Caenorhabditis elegans: one gene and its partner. The protein of the gene in region 1 interacts with the protein of each later gene in a pairwise test. Each region holds a gene or a part of one and is shown on either strand. Other genes may lie near its edges. The genes, in order: skpt-1 and puf-8.

Region 1 (7,746 bases):
AATTTAAAAATGAGAAAAAAGAAAACATCTAAAATCCATTAAAGCCTGCTAATTTCGAATAGTTATATGCAAATTATGTTCACAAAATCTGAATTCTTCGAGGAAAAAACTATTTTTCCAGGTAAACTATGTGGAATATGTGAAATGGTGGGCGGAGCACAAGAAAGGAGATCGAAATAGCGGCAAAACGGACAACAATAGCCCAAATAAAACAGAAAAACGATGTCTGCGCAACGAAATTCAAGACAATGGAGTTACAAGTGACGAAGTTCCCGATTCTTGTCTCATCACCATCGGAGCCATTGTTCATATCCTTGAGAAGAAACATTTCCGTGTAGCCGCCGGCAAGCTCCAGCTAATGCCAAACAGCGCGAATCCCAACGTGTTGTTCGTTGCTACAGATTCTCGTGTCCCTCGAATTCTCATTCCAAAATCCGATGTGGATAAGGAGTTCTTCTCACGCCCAAAGGACTTTGAGAGATTCCTTTACACAGCTAAGATCACTGATTGGCGCGCTGAATCTGTTTATGCCGATGGAAGACTCGTGAAGCTTCTTGGCATGTCCGGAGAAATCGATACAGAAACTGAAAGAATCGTCTACGAGCACCAAATCGATCACAGAGAGTTCAGCGACGAATGCCTCGAATCACTTCCAATCACTACAGCCGAAAACTGGAAGGTCCCTGATGCCGAGTTCGAGTACCGAAGAGATTTCCGAAGTGACATCGTTTTTACAATCGATCCAAAAACCGCTAGAGATCTCGACGATGCTCTTCACGCGAAACACATCGATGATTGTGACGGAAAAGGAACTCCAGGCCTTGAGATTGGAGTTCATATTGCTGATGTTACATTCTTCCTGAAAGAAGGTACAGAGCTTGACAAATGGGCATCCGAACGTGGAAATAGTACTTATCTATCACAAACTGTAATTCCAATGCTTCCAAGAATCCTCTGTGAGCAGCTGTGCTCTTTGAACCCTGGAGTCGATCGCCTCTCCTTCTCAACTGTATTCAAAATGAGCTACGAAGCCGAGCTGTATGATGTTTGGTTTGGAAGATCTGTTATCAGATCCCGTGTTAAACTTGCCTACGAACATGCACAGGATTTCATCGAGAACCCGGAGAAGGACTTCACATGCGACGAGCTTCCCGATATTTCAGATGGAAATACGCCTTTTGAGATCAAGGAAAAGACTCTGATGTTGCACAGAATCGCGCAAGTTCTTCGACAAAAGCGTGAAGATAGTGGAGCATTGCGGATCGAGCTTCCCAGATTGAAATTTGCATTGGATGAGGATAAGAAGCCACAAGGAGTTTCTATATACGAGGTTAATAAACAGTTTTTTGTTAAAGAAAATGTGTTTTTATATTAATTTTTGTTTTCAAACAGCAATTTTTTGGTCACATTTTTTCGGTTCTAGCAACAAAAAAGTAATCCATAAATTTAGATTTTCAAAAATCGGAAATTTAAAAAGAATTGCCAATTTTATAAAATACAAATGTTAAAATTTCAGATCAAAGATTCGAATAAACTCGTAGAAGAGTTCATGCTGCTCGCCAATATGGAAGTGGCTAAAAAGATCGCTGAAAATTTCCCAGAACACGCCCTTCTTCGTAATCACCCGCCACCAAAAGAGAAAATGATAAAGGACGTGGCTGAGCAATGTGCAAGAATTGGATTTCCATTGGACGGAAGAACGTCTGGATTACTTTCCACGTCACTTCGCAAGTATCAAGGAAAATCCCGTTTGGATATGTGCATTCGACAAGTAATTTCCTCATTGACAATTAAGCCAATGCAACAGGCGAAATATTTTTGCACTTTCGAGATGCCTCTTTCATTTTATCATCATTTTGCTCTCAACGTGGATCATTATACACATTTCACATCGCCAATTCGTCGGTATCCAGATGTGATTGTTCATCGACAACTTGCTGCTGCTCTTGGTTATAATGAAAGATCTGAAAGAGTTCCTGAAGAGATACAGGAGATTGTAAGTTTTCAAACACTCAAGAAATTTTTGCATTTAAATTTTCAGTGCACCCGCTGCAATGACACAAAGCTCGCATCGAAGGAAGCTTCGGATGAGTCTGCGATGCTCTATTTTGGAGTTTTCATCCATCAAACCGGTCCGATGAAGTGCCAAGCTGTTGTTCTTGGTGTAATGGATCTCTCATTCGACGTCCTCATCGTTGAGTATGGAGTTGTGAAGAGAGTTTATGTGGATGTGAGTATAGATTTCAAACAATGACGAAAAAAAAATCCGAATAATTTCAGAAAATGAAGCGAGACTTCAACAAATCGACCGAGAAGCTTACCATTTACTGGCCAGCAGATCCGAATGCGGAATCCGGAAACCGTGAAGAGTTTTCGAGCTCAATTCAAATGTGCAACGTGGTTTACGTGATTCTCGTGCCGTACAAAAGCATTGAAGTCAGCGCGACAATTGTTCGTCCGAGTCTCGAGCAACGTAATATTCTCAAGTCGACTCTCAAGGACATGAAAGAAACGGGCTCAACAATTCTTCAGTAGTCATTCGGATTCAGTGATCTCCTCCAGCAAAAGCTTTTTTTCCTTTTTCAATCCTTTTTTCCCCTTTTTCTATCCTTTTTTTCCCTTTTTCTATCCTTTTTTTTCTCCTTTATCCTTTTTTTCTTTAAATTCCATTTTCCCGTTGTATTTTTTAAAACGCGTGTCCATTCCTCGTCCCGGTTACTTTTGGTGTCGAATGAAAATGCATTATTCAATATTACTAGCGAAACTTTTATTTGACAAGTTTTGGGTGTTAACTGTCACGTAACTCGTTAAGAAAATTAGAAACTAGAGAAATATAGGACAATTGAGAAGTGCAGTTAAAATAATATGTATTGTTATCTATTCGATATCCATCATTGTCTGTCCCCAGATCATATTCGACTCGCATTGGTAGCTGACCGGTTTGGCGGTGAAGTTGAAGTACTGACGGTTGACCTTCAGATTGGAGCACATTTCGAGGAAAAGCTCCATGTTCGTGTCAGAGACGCAGCCATGAACGTTGAGATAAACGAGCGAAGGCTTACTGTTGAAGTGTCTGGAAATGTTTTGTTTAAATAAATTAAACTAATTTTCAAATAAACTCACACAACCATATTAGGGTCCAATCCGTAGCATCGATTGAGAGAAATTGTCGTAAGTCTCGGGAATTTGTTCAGAATCACTGCGAGGCCTGGATCACTAATCTCGACGTTATCCGACAAGTCGAGGTCGGTGACGTAGTTGGATTTTGCGGCGAGAATCTCAATATCTGGAATTTTTTACAGAAAATTAGAAGATTCTGACAACAGAGCCGCTCACGTTTATTGTTGATGCCGAAGTTTCGAACTGTTCCCGAGAGATTCAACTTTTTGAGCTTCTCGCCAATGGAATGAATGATTACGGTCACAATTGGCTGTGTTAATCCACACCACGCCAGATTCAGTTGTTGCAGGCTGAAAAAAATATTACGAAGGTGCACGGGAACAAGAAATATGTTACAGAAATTATTTAAAGATACACGTGGCAAGAACACTTTCAGGAAAGTTTTAAAAAATCCCTCACTCTTTGCAATTTCTGAAGATCAAACTGGCTCCATTTGCCGTGATTCCGTTGGTCATCGAGATGTCGAGCTCGCGGAGCCCGCGATTCTCTGCAATGCATATTGCCACGTGGTCATCCAATTGATTTCCTTCAATTGACAAGCATTTGAGCTTCTGGCATGGTTTCAACATAATCTGCATTTGGCGGGCAGTGAGATTAGTGCGAGAGAGATCGAGAAGCTCCAAGCGGGAGGTGCTCAGCAGTGCAACTTCGACGAGCCGTTCATCGGCACGAAGGATTCGATCGGCCTGGAAACAGTTAGTTTTATAGGAAATAAAATAAAATTCTCACTTTAGCTCCTGCCAGACGAAGAACTTTGATTTTTCGTTGTGACAACGCAATCAGTGAAATTTCGGAAATAGGACGATCCTGGGCGTCGGTGATAATCCAATTTCTCGATTTGTGTCCGATTCCGTAAAAACGATGACAGACGAGCATCGCCGAGAGAAGATCCTTCTTTTTCAAATTGGAAAAGATTTGTTCAGTGATCTCATCGGGAATACTGTACTTTTTGAACGGATTCTGAATACTGCGTGCGTCTTTTCGCTTGATCGGAGCGATTTCATCTTCTACGAGATTTTTGCAATTCAGATTTATCGACTTTAGCTTTTCGGAGCTGAAATGTCGTAAAATTAAGAAAATTAAGAGATAATTGCAGCTTACTTTCCGGAAACTGAAAGCCTGAGGCTTTTCTTTGGATAGAGGTTGTAGCATGGAAAGATGGAGATGGTCTCATCTGAGAATACTTTGAAAAAGTCAATCATATTTGAATTTTGACACACAATTACCTGTCTCCACGCAATGCTCATTTTCAGAGGGTCCGTTATCTTCTAGAGTTGATGGAAGTCTTCCTATGACACGAGACATTTTGTTTGAGTAGATATGAGGTGTAGTATTTAGGTGGTAAATAAGGGAAAAAGCACTTTCTGCTTGAAATAAATTCAAAACAGGGCTGATTTGAATAAATATGAACTCGCGGGCGCGGTAATCTTTTTTAGGTTGGCGCGAGTTTTTGCAATGCAAACGCGCTCCACCGCAAATCTGAATTTTCGAACATTTTTCGCCAATTTTTATCCTTATTTTTTTATTTTTTGCAATATTTCGCTATTTTTATTTGTTTCTCCCACCAAAAGCGCACATTTTTAAATCAAAATACGATTAAATAAAAGTAATATAACTTTTTAAATAAGTCCAAATAACCTTTAAGCAAAGTAAGGGTCGAATCTGAAACTATTTCTTGAAAACAACTTTTTTGTCTCATTCATCGAAGATTGGTTGTATTCGGAAGTGAGAGGTTGACAAGTTTTTTAAAATCCATTTTATTAATTATTCCGAAATACACATTTAGTTCCAATAGTTTCGAAATTTAAAACGTTTGAGTCATCCTTCATTTTTTCTGCCTAGTTGCTGTGATCATTTGGAGAGAGTATAAGAATTTATTAATCATTTCGAAAAAAAAAATCATTTTTGAATATCCTGTATCATTCTATTAAACTTGAAGTTATTCGGCCGGTGTTGAACAATTTGCTCCTCATTGGCGATCATTTCGTTATTCTGATTTCTTCGATTATAACGGAAGGAGAGTGGATCTGAATTTACAGTAGATTTTAAATTGGTTTTTCTTGAATTTCCTCACCTAATTTTTGTAGTGGAACAGGCGCTATGTCCACCGGCTCTGCAATATTGTTCAAGCCGATCGAGCGATTTGCGTAGAGATTTATTTCATTAAAGATATAATCATCTGACAAATTATCTGGCACCCCTCGTTTTCTTTTAGAAGTTTCCTCGATAGGTTCGGTTACAATTACATCGGTTTGTTGAGCTGAAATAGGATCCAAATTATCAAATATCCTTCTCTATTCATGTTATAAATCTTGGTTGTAAGAACAGTTAACATAATTAGTAACAATTAGAAACCTGATGTGATTAAGATTCTATCACTGTTTTTAAATAGTAAAATAAATAATTTTGACATACGTATATTGATAACTTCTCCTCTTTGTAACGCCTCAATCAATGCATCCAAATCAAGATCTCCATCACCTTGAGCCTCACGCAGTGCTCTCTCCTTTCGAAGCCTTTCCTTCAGTCGTTTAATCTGTCATTAAGCCACTAGTATACACCTTGGAGAGCCACCACAAACCTGCTCGGCTCGTCGCCGTCTACTTTCCTTATCTATCTCCTCTTCACGCTTGCCGTCTGCCCATTTGTTGAAGCTGAATGTGTTGAACACATTCGCACCGTCTCCCATTGTACTGTTCTGTAAATATATAAACTGAGCTAATGAGAAGAATACGTACTAGAGCACCACGCTTTTGCGAAAAATGAGAACCAAAAGCTCGATTGTGCACTCACTTTTGCATATTTTATTAAAGCTTTTGACGTCCTTTTCTCTTTTGTTCGCCTGTTTGAAATTTTTGAAAACCAGGAAACCATGATGATTTTAAATGTTTAATGATGTTCTTCTAACAGCATGCCCACGCGTTTTGCCTGAAAATTCGAATCAAATTAATTTTCAGCCTTTTTATTGTTTAAATATCAGAAAAAAACTGGCTGTTCACTAATCACGTGATGCCTGTGTTTTCATCCTCCCTTCTACACTGAAAATATTCTATTTTAAGGACATTTTCAGTCATTTTCCGGCGCTGTTCCCTCTGTCGTCGCCACGTCCAGTACACCGAAACCGACGACAAATCGATGAGAGCTCTACGACCGCAGGCGCGATGGATTGTGCTATTGCAGTGAGAGAGAGATGGCCGTTCTCTGCTTCTCTGCGTATCACTGTCGCAGCTGTTTCTCTTCTTCTCCTTTCGCCGCTCTTTTTTTGCATGTTCGTCAGGTTCACTATAGCGATTTCTTAATATCGAAATTTCACGAGTTTCAGAGTTGATTTTCGAAAGATCAGTGAAAATATTGTCCACGTGGTAGAGTTTTTCACTGATTTCTCGAAAATTCCAATAGTTTCTTTAAAAATCACACTCTTCTTCTTTGAACAATTCCATTTCATTGATTTTCTATATTTTCGTACAGAAATAATAATGTTTCAACAAAAATATGTTTTCTAGCACTGAACATTCTTAAATTTGAATTTAATTTTCTTAATATCAGATATTCAAAGATGACTATTCGTAGATTCTGCAAGTTCTTTCAAAATACTCAATTTTTCTATTTTCTCTCCAATTTATTTCTCCAAAAACCACCCGGTAATCAATATTTCAACACATTGCTGTGTTATCTTCACTGCGTCTCCTCTCTCTCTCTTGTTCTCCTCATGCCCGATGATAATCCGTTTCTCTTCCCGTTCTTTCTCCTTTGAATAGCCGCGAGATTAATTTTCATAAAACAAATTTCAGCACTCTTCATCATGTCGGTTGTCGAAGAAGCCACTGACGACGCGCTCTACCCGATTGCCGTGCTCATTGACGAGCTGCGCAACGAAGATGTCACGTTGCGACTGAACAGCATTCGCAAACTCTCCACAATCGCTTTGGCGTTGGGTGTGGAGCGCACACGCAACGAGCTCATCCAATTTTTGACCGACACGATTTACGACGAAGATGAGGTTCTGCTTGTGCTCGCCGAGCAACTCGGAAATTTCACTCCATTGGTCGGTGGTCCAGATCATGTTCATTGTCTTCTCCTTCCACTTGAGAACTTGGCCACAGTCGAGGAGACCGTGGTCCGTGACAAAGCCGTTGAGAGTCTCCGCAAAATCGCCGACAAGCACAGCTCGGCCTCATTGGAGGAGCATTTCGTGCCGATGCTCAGACGTTTGGCCACTGGAGACTGGTTCACATCCCGTACCTCGGCTTGTGGGCTTTTCTCTGTTGTTTATCCACGTGTCAGTCCAGCTATCAAGTCGGAATTGAAGAGGTGAGAATTAAGAAAAGAATAACTAAAGCAATCTAAATTAATTATTTTCAGCATGTTCCGAACCCTGTGCCGTGATGACACCCCAATGGTTCGCCGTGCTGCTGCTGCAAAGCTCGGAGAGTTCGCAAAGGTGTTTGAGAAGACTGCCGTCATCGAGGGTCTCCACTCCAGTCTCACTGATCTTCATGTTGATGAGCAAGATTCTGTTCGTTTGCTCACTGTCGAGTCAGCCATCGCTTTCGGAACTCTCCTCGA
Region 2 (8,099 bases), on another chromosome or scaffold:
CCAATTTGTTCTGTTGAAAATGTTAGATTATTAGTATCTCTGAAGAAACAAACAGGACGGTTGGCGGTTTTATATAGAAAGATATTTTAAGATTAAAATAAAACGATTGGATTTAAAATTTCCTTTTCTCAAAATTAGATTTCCGCAGTTTAGAAAAACAATTTGGCTTAAATAATATTTGAAATGCCGAACTCATGCATTATTTTGAAGGCAAACTGAGGCCAAAGACGTTTGCTGACGCGCGGCGTGCTGGCGCATCTCTAGTGCTTGAGAGGCTGTTCATATTGAGAGACGCAGACTCTGCATAAAACTGTATTTATTATAATAGTAGGTCTACAATTATTTTTGTAAAGATTTTCTACAATGTTTGATCCTTTCATTGGAACCAAAAATTTATCAATTCAGCATTATCAAAAAAAGAGAGTATATCCAGTACTTGACCAGAAGAAGACAATTCCAACATCTGTGTTTGTGTTCATTTAATAAATATTTTATTAATTTCAACATGGAAAATTAGGTCAAAATACTTTGAAAAAAACAACCGAGATGCCTGAAAAATGAAAGAAAATTAGGGGACCCGATAGGAAAAGTCTGTTTAATTATTTGGTAGAGTAATAAAACTAAAAATGGAAAGGATTTGAATTCATATGAACTCGGCAAATCTCGTTTGGAAGTCGATGAGAAAGAGGGTTCGGTGCAGAATATCTAGAATCGGTCGAAACAAGAGTAGTAAACGGTTGATGGGGAATGAATAGATGATTATGAGAAAGACCTCCAACTCTTGTAGACGGTAGAAATGGATTTGGGGCTGCAGGTGTTGGAAGAATGAAACGAAGTGGAAGAGGAGTCTGAAATAATTGATAATTCAGATGTATTAAAGATTTAAACCTACAGTAGTAGTTGCAACATTTCTCATCGATAGAGCCTGTTTCAATGAATATTCATCAATCATTTCATTTTTTTCCAATGCCTTTGAAATTAACTTCAAGATAATTGGATCAACAACTGTTTGAATACTTGAAAGTGAAGAAGAAGAAGCTGATGGCATTGTTGCAGGAGTCTTGGTTTTATCAAAATTTGGTTGTCTAGTTGTGGTTGAAAATGGAATCGTTTGAAGTGATATTTGTCTTGGAGTTGTGGTAGTTGTTGGAATGGCTGAAAATTGACAGCTTTAATCGGATGTTAACTTAATTTATTAATTATAAATTGCAATTTTGAAAATGTTGTATATACTGAATTTTTCAAATAGTTGTCTTGTAGATGTTACCTGTGGATGTTCTTGTTGTGGTTGTCATAGTAGTCGTGGTAATTTGAGGATTAGTTTTAGTAGTGAAAACATTGAAAACTTCTTTCTTTTTTTCTGGTTTCTGTGATTTTCTTGGTTTCATTGTTGTAAAAGTGGCTCTATACGGAGAATCAATCTTCGTAATATCAATGACTGGAGCTACTGGAACTGATGCAACGGGTGGTAATTGGGGTTTAAATTGTGAAGCAGCTAATAATTCAATCATATCCTTATCTGGAATAATGAAATGTTTAATTTTCATAACAAATATCTCGAAGAAAGGAAATCACCTTTCCCGAGTTCAAACAAATTCTGCCACGGACCTTCCATTGCAAAGAGAGGACTTTGACTAACTACTGGAAGGAATCGAGAAGTTACTGTAGAGTTAATATTCAAAAGTTTGTGAAGCATTTCACTAAAATCTCTTTGTGGTCGTGTGCCAGGCCTGAAACAAGATTATTTGAAAATGCAGAATATTGGATGAACTTACAATGGTTTCGAGCTTCTTTTGCTACGTTTCCTTTTTGATTCTCCATACATTCGTCTCATTTTAACTAACTGTATTTTCTGTTTCTCAAAGTTTGTTAATGGTCGGATAAGATGATCTCCAACGTAGACGTGATTATTCTAGAAAAAAACCGTATTTGTTAATTGTAGTAATTAAAAAGTGAAGTGACTATTTCATAGATTCTGACAAAAGAATACGGTAATTGGTCTCGAAGCGTCTTTGACCTATCAATTTCCGATCGTGTCGACCCCTGATACCGTAATATTGAAGATTTACATTAAAACCAGATGGTTCTAACTATACACAATTGGAAAAAAAAACTTACTCGAACAATACAAGAATCCAACACCACTTCAATAGAATCATCATACCCTCCACAGAATTTTGGAATTGTAGGAAACGAGGCTTCGAAAGAATCAAATGAAGATGATGAACTGTAAAACGCTTAATTTTCAAAACAATCGAGAATAGAATGACAAACTCTTTGAATGCACTTAGATCATGCTGATACGAACTAAATATGTGTAGTTCGTGATCATTCAACTTTCGCTTGGAAACACCATGAAGGAATAGGGTACTGTCCTGAAAGATTTGGAAGATATTTTCAAATTGTTTTCTACGAATGCTTACAAATACAGCACATGCTGGTCCAACATAACCATATCCAGGTTGATATTCAGGTGGTGTATTTAGAATTAGGGCATTACCAATTAAAGGTAATATAAAATAATGAAGACTTTTAACCATGGCAACCAAAGGGTACACCTAGTCAAAGACTCTATTTGGTCGTGATGAGTTCAAGTTACGAAGCAAGAACAAAGATGGGACTGTGAGGAGACAAGGGGCGTCGCTTCTCGGCACACAAACTATGGTGTTGTTCCCACGGCCGGAAGCTGCTTTACACGAACCTTATGCAATCGGACGCTCTATGTTCGTACACACACACAATACGCTCGTACGATCGGCCAGCCTGCAACCTTTTTCGATGTGAGGCTTTGTTTTCCAAAATTAAATATACACAAACAGACAAAATCTAATTCTCGTTAAAGGTCAGAAAGGGGTTGGAATGGAGATGACAATGAAATAGAGGTGGGAGGAAATTTGATACGATGGCCGGCGAACGGACGGTCGGGAAGAAAAAAAAAAACTAAATTTGTCGAGAATCTTCACGTTGTTTGCTTTTGCATGCTCTACACACTTTGAAGTTTTTGAAACGGTCATTCGACTCCCGAGAATAAAAAGATGAAGATGTATATCCATTTCATTGTAAAGAAAGAATCAAAACGGTCAAGCTATGTTAAGCACAAAGCACATGGAAAATAAATTTAGAATATTCAATACTATGCATAACAACACTCATTCATACACTTTCTGCCAGTTCTGAAGAGTTGAGAGTGAGGAAATATCGACTTTGGAGCAGGTATCTCTGAGAGCACAAGTATATTCAATTGATCTACTTAGCATTTGATCTCCAGAAAAACGGAGATTAATATAAATGCTATGTTTACATTTACTGTTACATCTACACAGGGTCTTCACTAGGTCAGCTTGGGATTCGTATAAAATTAGGTCCCTGAAGAATTAGGTCTCGCCGCGAACTCGAATCACATGGGTTTTCAGAAAATACAGTACCCGACACCATATTGAAACTACATAATCCAAGCCTACTATTTTTTCAAAAAGTCGAAAAAAATGTTTTTTCTACTCTCCTACATGCCACGCCTCCTTTCAGCATATTACCTTTTCGTATATTAAGTTTTTCACCAGTTCTCCTTTCCATGGACTCTCAAGTGCGTGCGGAACCTCAATAATTTAAAGGAACATGCATTTAATGGAGAAATGGGTTTCACCACGAACACCACGACTACGGTATTCGTTCGAAAATTATCCGAATAAATACGGAACTCCTGTTCTAAATAGTGATTTTTGATTGTTTTTCATTGTTTTCTCATTTTAATGTTCTAAATTCTCATGTGCAACTATTTTAATTAATAAAAATAAATAAAGTACGCGTTGCAATTGTTTTTTCAAGCTGAACTATGCCTCCTTGACCTAAAGTAATTATTTTAGGGGTAATCTGCGTTCCTGATGAGTCGTCCGATTTCAATTGGGAATACATGCACATTTGATCCTTCAGCTTCTCCGATTGAATCTCTTGGGAGGAGCATCGGTGCTCAGAAAATAGTGGATAGTGTATGCGGATCTCCGATTGTGAGTCTTGTTTATTGCAATATTGAAATTATTTTTTATTTTGAATAGAAATACAATGTTCATGCAATAAATCACACTGATAGATTTGCCGCAGTGTTTGTCAATTAAATTTTCAATAAAACAATGATTTCAGAGATCGTATGGCCGTCATATTTCTACCAATCCAAAAAATGAACGCCTTCCCGATACACCAGAGTTTCAATTTGCCACTTACATGCATCAAGGAGGAAAAGTAATTGGCCAGAATACATTGCACATGTTCGGAACTCCACCATCGTGTTATTGTGCTCAAGAAAATATTCCAATCAGCTCTAATGTCGGTCATGTCTTGAGTACTATCAATAACAACTACATGAATCATCAATACAATGGTTCTAATATGTTTTCGAATCAAATGACACAAATGCTACAAGCACAAGGTTAGTAAAAACATATTTCGAATATGGAAATTCTCCGTTTTTACAGCATATAATGATTTACAAATGCACCAAGCGCATTCTCAAAGTATTCGTGTACCGGTTCAACCGTCTGCCACAGGCATATTTTCAAATCCCTACAGGTTTTTTTCTAAACTCAAAAATAGTTTAAATATTTGTATATTTCAGGGAACCAACAACCACCGACGATCTTCTAACTAGATATCGTGCAAATCCAGCCATGATGAAGAATTTAAAATTATCAGACATTCGTGGAGCACTGTTGAAGTTTGCCAAAGATCAAGTTGGCTCGAGATTCATTCAACAGGAACTTGCTTCCAGTAAGGACAGATTCGAGAAGGACTCTATATTTGATGAAGTCGTTTCCAATGCTGATGAGCTCGTTGATGATATTTTCGGCAACTACGTAGTGCAGAAATTCTTCGAATATGGCGAAGAAAGGCATTGGGCTCGGCTCGTCGATGCAATAATTGATCGTGTACCAGAATACGCGTTTCAAATGTATGCCTGCCGTGTTCTTCAGAAAGCTTTGGAAAAAATCAATGAGCCACTTCAAATAAAAATTCTTTCTCAAATCCGACACGTCATCCATCGTTGTATGAAAGATCAAAATGGAAACCACGTGGTTCAGAAGGCCATAGAGAAAGTCAGTCCACAGTACGTCCAATTCATTGTCGATACGCTTCTAGAATCCAGCAACACAATTTACGAGATGTCTGTGGATCCCTACGGTTGTCGTGTTGTCCAACGTTGTCTCGAACACTGCAGTCCTTCGCAGACGAAGCCTGTTATCGGCCAAATTCATAAACGTTTCGACGAAATTGCAAATAATCAGTACGGAAACTATGTGGTTCAACACGTCATTGAACATGGAAGTGAAGAGGATAGAATGGTTATTGTTACTCGTGTCTCCAACAATCTATTCGAGTTTGCCACCCACAAGTACTCGTCGAACGTTATCGAAAAATGTTTGGAACAAGGCGCAGTTTATCACAAGTCCATGATCGTAGGAGCTGCGTGTCACCATCAGGAAGGGTATGTATATTCATGAAAAATGTAGATATAATTATTTCATTCAGATCTGTACCGATTGTTGTCCAAATGATGAAAGATCAGTACGCCAACTACGTTGTTCAGAAAATGTTCGATCAGGTTACATCAGAACAGCGCCGTGAACTCATCCTAACTGTTCGTCCACACATTCCCGTTTTGAGACAATTCCCTCATGGAAAGCACATTCTTGGTAAGATATTGCAAAGAATGATTTAATAATATTCAACCTTAATTTGCAGCAAAACTTGAAAAATATTTTCAAAAGCCGGCTGTCATGAGCTATCCATACCAAGATATGCAGGGATCTCACTAGCCCAATCAGTTTTGTACTATTCCCAACACTCAACTCCTCACAAATGTACCTTTAGTTATCTCAAATCCGGTTGTTATACCGGTTCTTTTTGTTATTCCCTGTGCATTTCTGTAGACAGCTTATCGTAATTTGTAATGTTACTCGTTTTGTAATTTTTTCCTAATCTTATTTTAGCATAAAAATTTGAAAAAAAAGTTGTTGAACATTTGTTTTAAAGATGTTTATATATCTCCCTTATATATCTTGAATTACTTGAAAACCGTTTTCGCACAAATCTAAATGTTTGAGATGGAGTCTGGTGATCATCTCGGAAATCTTTTCGATGATATGGTAGAAGAGGATAACGATGAAGATAGTTTTGAAGAACCTGCGTGTGAAGACAGTTTTGATTCTCAAGAAGCTTCATCGAAAGCTAACGAACCTCAAAACGACAGTTTCGATGAGCCTATTCAGAGCTCAGTAAGTAAACAAAGTGATGATGCAAACGGAGAAGATGAAATTAATGAAGAAGTCATACAAGAACAGAAGGAGCTGGATTTAAATGAAGAGGACTTCAATCTTTTGACGATTGGTTTGTTTGTGAGTATATATAAACGTTATAAGACAATCATGTTACAGAAGAAGTTCCGTTGGATGTTCTGACAGCTCGTATAAGAAGAGTGTTCACCGAAGTCACATATAGAGCAGAGCCTGCAGCGATAGCACTTTTTGACGTCGCACACAAAATAATTTTCAAGTCAACTATGTTAGATTGCAAACGGAATACTGTTATTGATTCGATAATTGAAGGGCTTATATCGATTATTGTTGATGAACGAGAACGAGATCAAGGTGCTGAGGAGGCCGAGCATGTACTTATGATATTCATCGCAAAACTTGCAATTAAAAACAAGTCAATGAAGTGCAGTGATCTTCTATATAAGCTGATTCTTCTTGTCGATCGTCTTTATTTGCACGCTGATTCTTTCGTTCGTTGTCGCATTTATCGACTCATCGCGTGTCTTATGGAAGAAGCGAATCGGTATGCTGATGTTATGCGGGAGCATGGAGATGACGCATTCCTCTCTGATGAAGATCCTACAGAGAGTGAAGTTATGATTCCAAGCGGAGTGAAAAACCGATGGATGGGAAAATTGGCGAAGAGTTTGTTGGACAAGTCGCCAGAAGTTAGATGTAAAGCTGTAATTGCTCTATCACTGTGGGACCACGATATTGAATGTAAAACCACATGTTGTGATGAAGTAACTGTGAATGATCGTAAGTTGGCAACACTCTTTATTAACCAGAATTCACGTTTTTTTACAGTTTTGTGGAAGAGTGTTCATGATGTTGATGAAAGTGTGCGTGTCAATGCAGCTCGTCGAGTTCACATTGCGAATGAGAACGATATTGATAAATGCATCGACTACGTCGAAACGAGCAAGGATAATCGTGTTAAACAAGCAATAATTGTGAGATTAGCATCTGATGTTTCATTGCTCTCGTTTTCTGAAAAACAAAGATTCCGGCTAGTAAATCTCTTAAACAACAGTGATAGTGGTAAGAAATATATGCTGACCAGTGTGATTCAATTGATTTAATTGATTTTCAGCTCGTGTACAGGATGTTATTCATCAACTTCTCGTCGAATCTTGGATGAAGGTGGCTGGTGATGAGATTATCTCTCCTTCTATATTTCCATTCCCGGACTCAGATAATAATAATATTCCTAAAGAATTTCCAAGTATCATACTTGAATATCTCGATCCTTTAGTTGATCCCACTGCAGTTTACGTCTTTGTAAGTTAGAAAGCTTCGGTTGATTTCCTACAAATTGAAATTCAGATGAAGTTCGCCACTGTTCGTTTCATCCAAAAATCAACCGTTCAGCAAGCATGCGGCTCTCTAGATGTTGAGAAGTTTATGAAGGATCTGCTTAGTATGACAATTCCTGATTGTGAAAGAGTTGGGCTGATGCGTCGAACAACCTTTAGGCTGATACCAAAGTGAGAAAATAATTGTTTTTCAATTTTTTTATACAGTCTTTTTCCAGAGACAATAACGATGGGAATGAGGACATAAGAAAGATTTTTTCACGAATATTCATTTCTCGGTGCTTTGTCGATGTCATTTTCAATTTCGCTAAAGGACGCCTCGACGCGACACATTTACGAAGCAGAGCACTCACATTCTTCCTACCGGACGTCACCACTTTTGTCGAACATCTTGAAAAATTCTGCGATGCTTATTTTCATCGAAACATGTCAACCGATTACACTTGCAAGGATCTTGTTCTGTATAATTTGCTTCATT

The links.
Region 2: the proteins of skpt-1 (region 1) and puf-8 interact in a two-hybrid assay, tested with the Caenorhabditis elegans proteins (one large-scale study listed by BioGRID).

Annotation. Positions count from the first base shown.
Region 1 is NC_003281.10:5,443,759-5,451,504, forward strand, and holds skpt-1 (F-box domain-containing protein), read right to left. Parts: upstream 4,522-7,746; 5' UTR 4,486-4,521; coding exon 4,407-4,485; intron 4,364-4,406; coding exon 4,282-4,363; intron 4,235-4,281; coding exon 3,910-4,234; intron 3,867-3,909; coding exon 3,580-3,866; intron 3,471-3,579; coding exon 3,337-3,470; intron 3,287-3,336; coding exon 3,124-3,286; intron 3,074-3,123; coding exon 2,878-3,073; 3' UTR 2,755-2,877; downstream 1-2,754. Other genes in the region: disl-2 (DIS3-like exonuclease 2), read left to right, coding at 122-1,330, 1,517-1,996, 2,042-2,230, 2,281-2,535; F48E8.8 (Hsp20/alpha crystallin family protein), read right to left, coding at 5,080-5,207, 5,255-5,440, 5,596-5,716, 5,762-5,878, 5,974-6,054; paa-1 (putative serine/threonine-protein phosphatase PP2A regulatory subunit), read left to right, coding at 6,983-7,491, 7,543-7,746.
Region 2 is NC_003280.10:7,294,012-7,302,110, reverse strand, and holds puf-8 (PUM-HD domain-containing protein), read left to right. Parts: upstream 1-3,863; 5' UTR 3,864-3,881; coding exon 3,882-4,004; intron 4,005-4,137; coding exon 4,138-4,423; intron 4,424-4,469; coding exon 4,470-4,563; intron 4,564-4,609; coding exon 4,610-5,476; intron 5,477-5,520; coding exon 5,521-5,684; intron 5,685-5,733; coding exon 5,734-5,807; 3' UTR 5,808-5,996; downstream 5,997-8,099. Other genes in the region: C30G12.1 (uncharacterized protein), read right to left, coding at 621-848, 893-1,155, 1,268-1,519, 1,576-1,730, 1,776-1,912, 2,119-2,227, 2,275-2,375, 2,424-2,540; C30G12.6 (uncharacterized protein), read left to right, coding at 6,096-6,378, 6,426-7,064, 7,113-7,346, 7,399-7,586, 7,632-7,792, 7,840-8,099.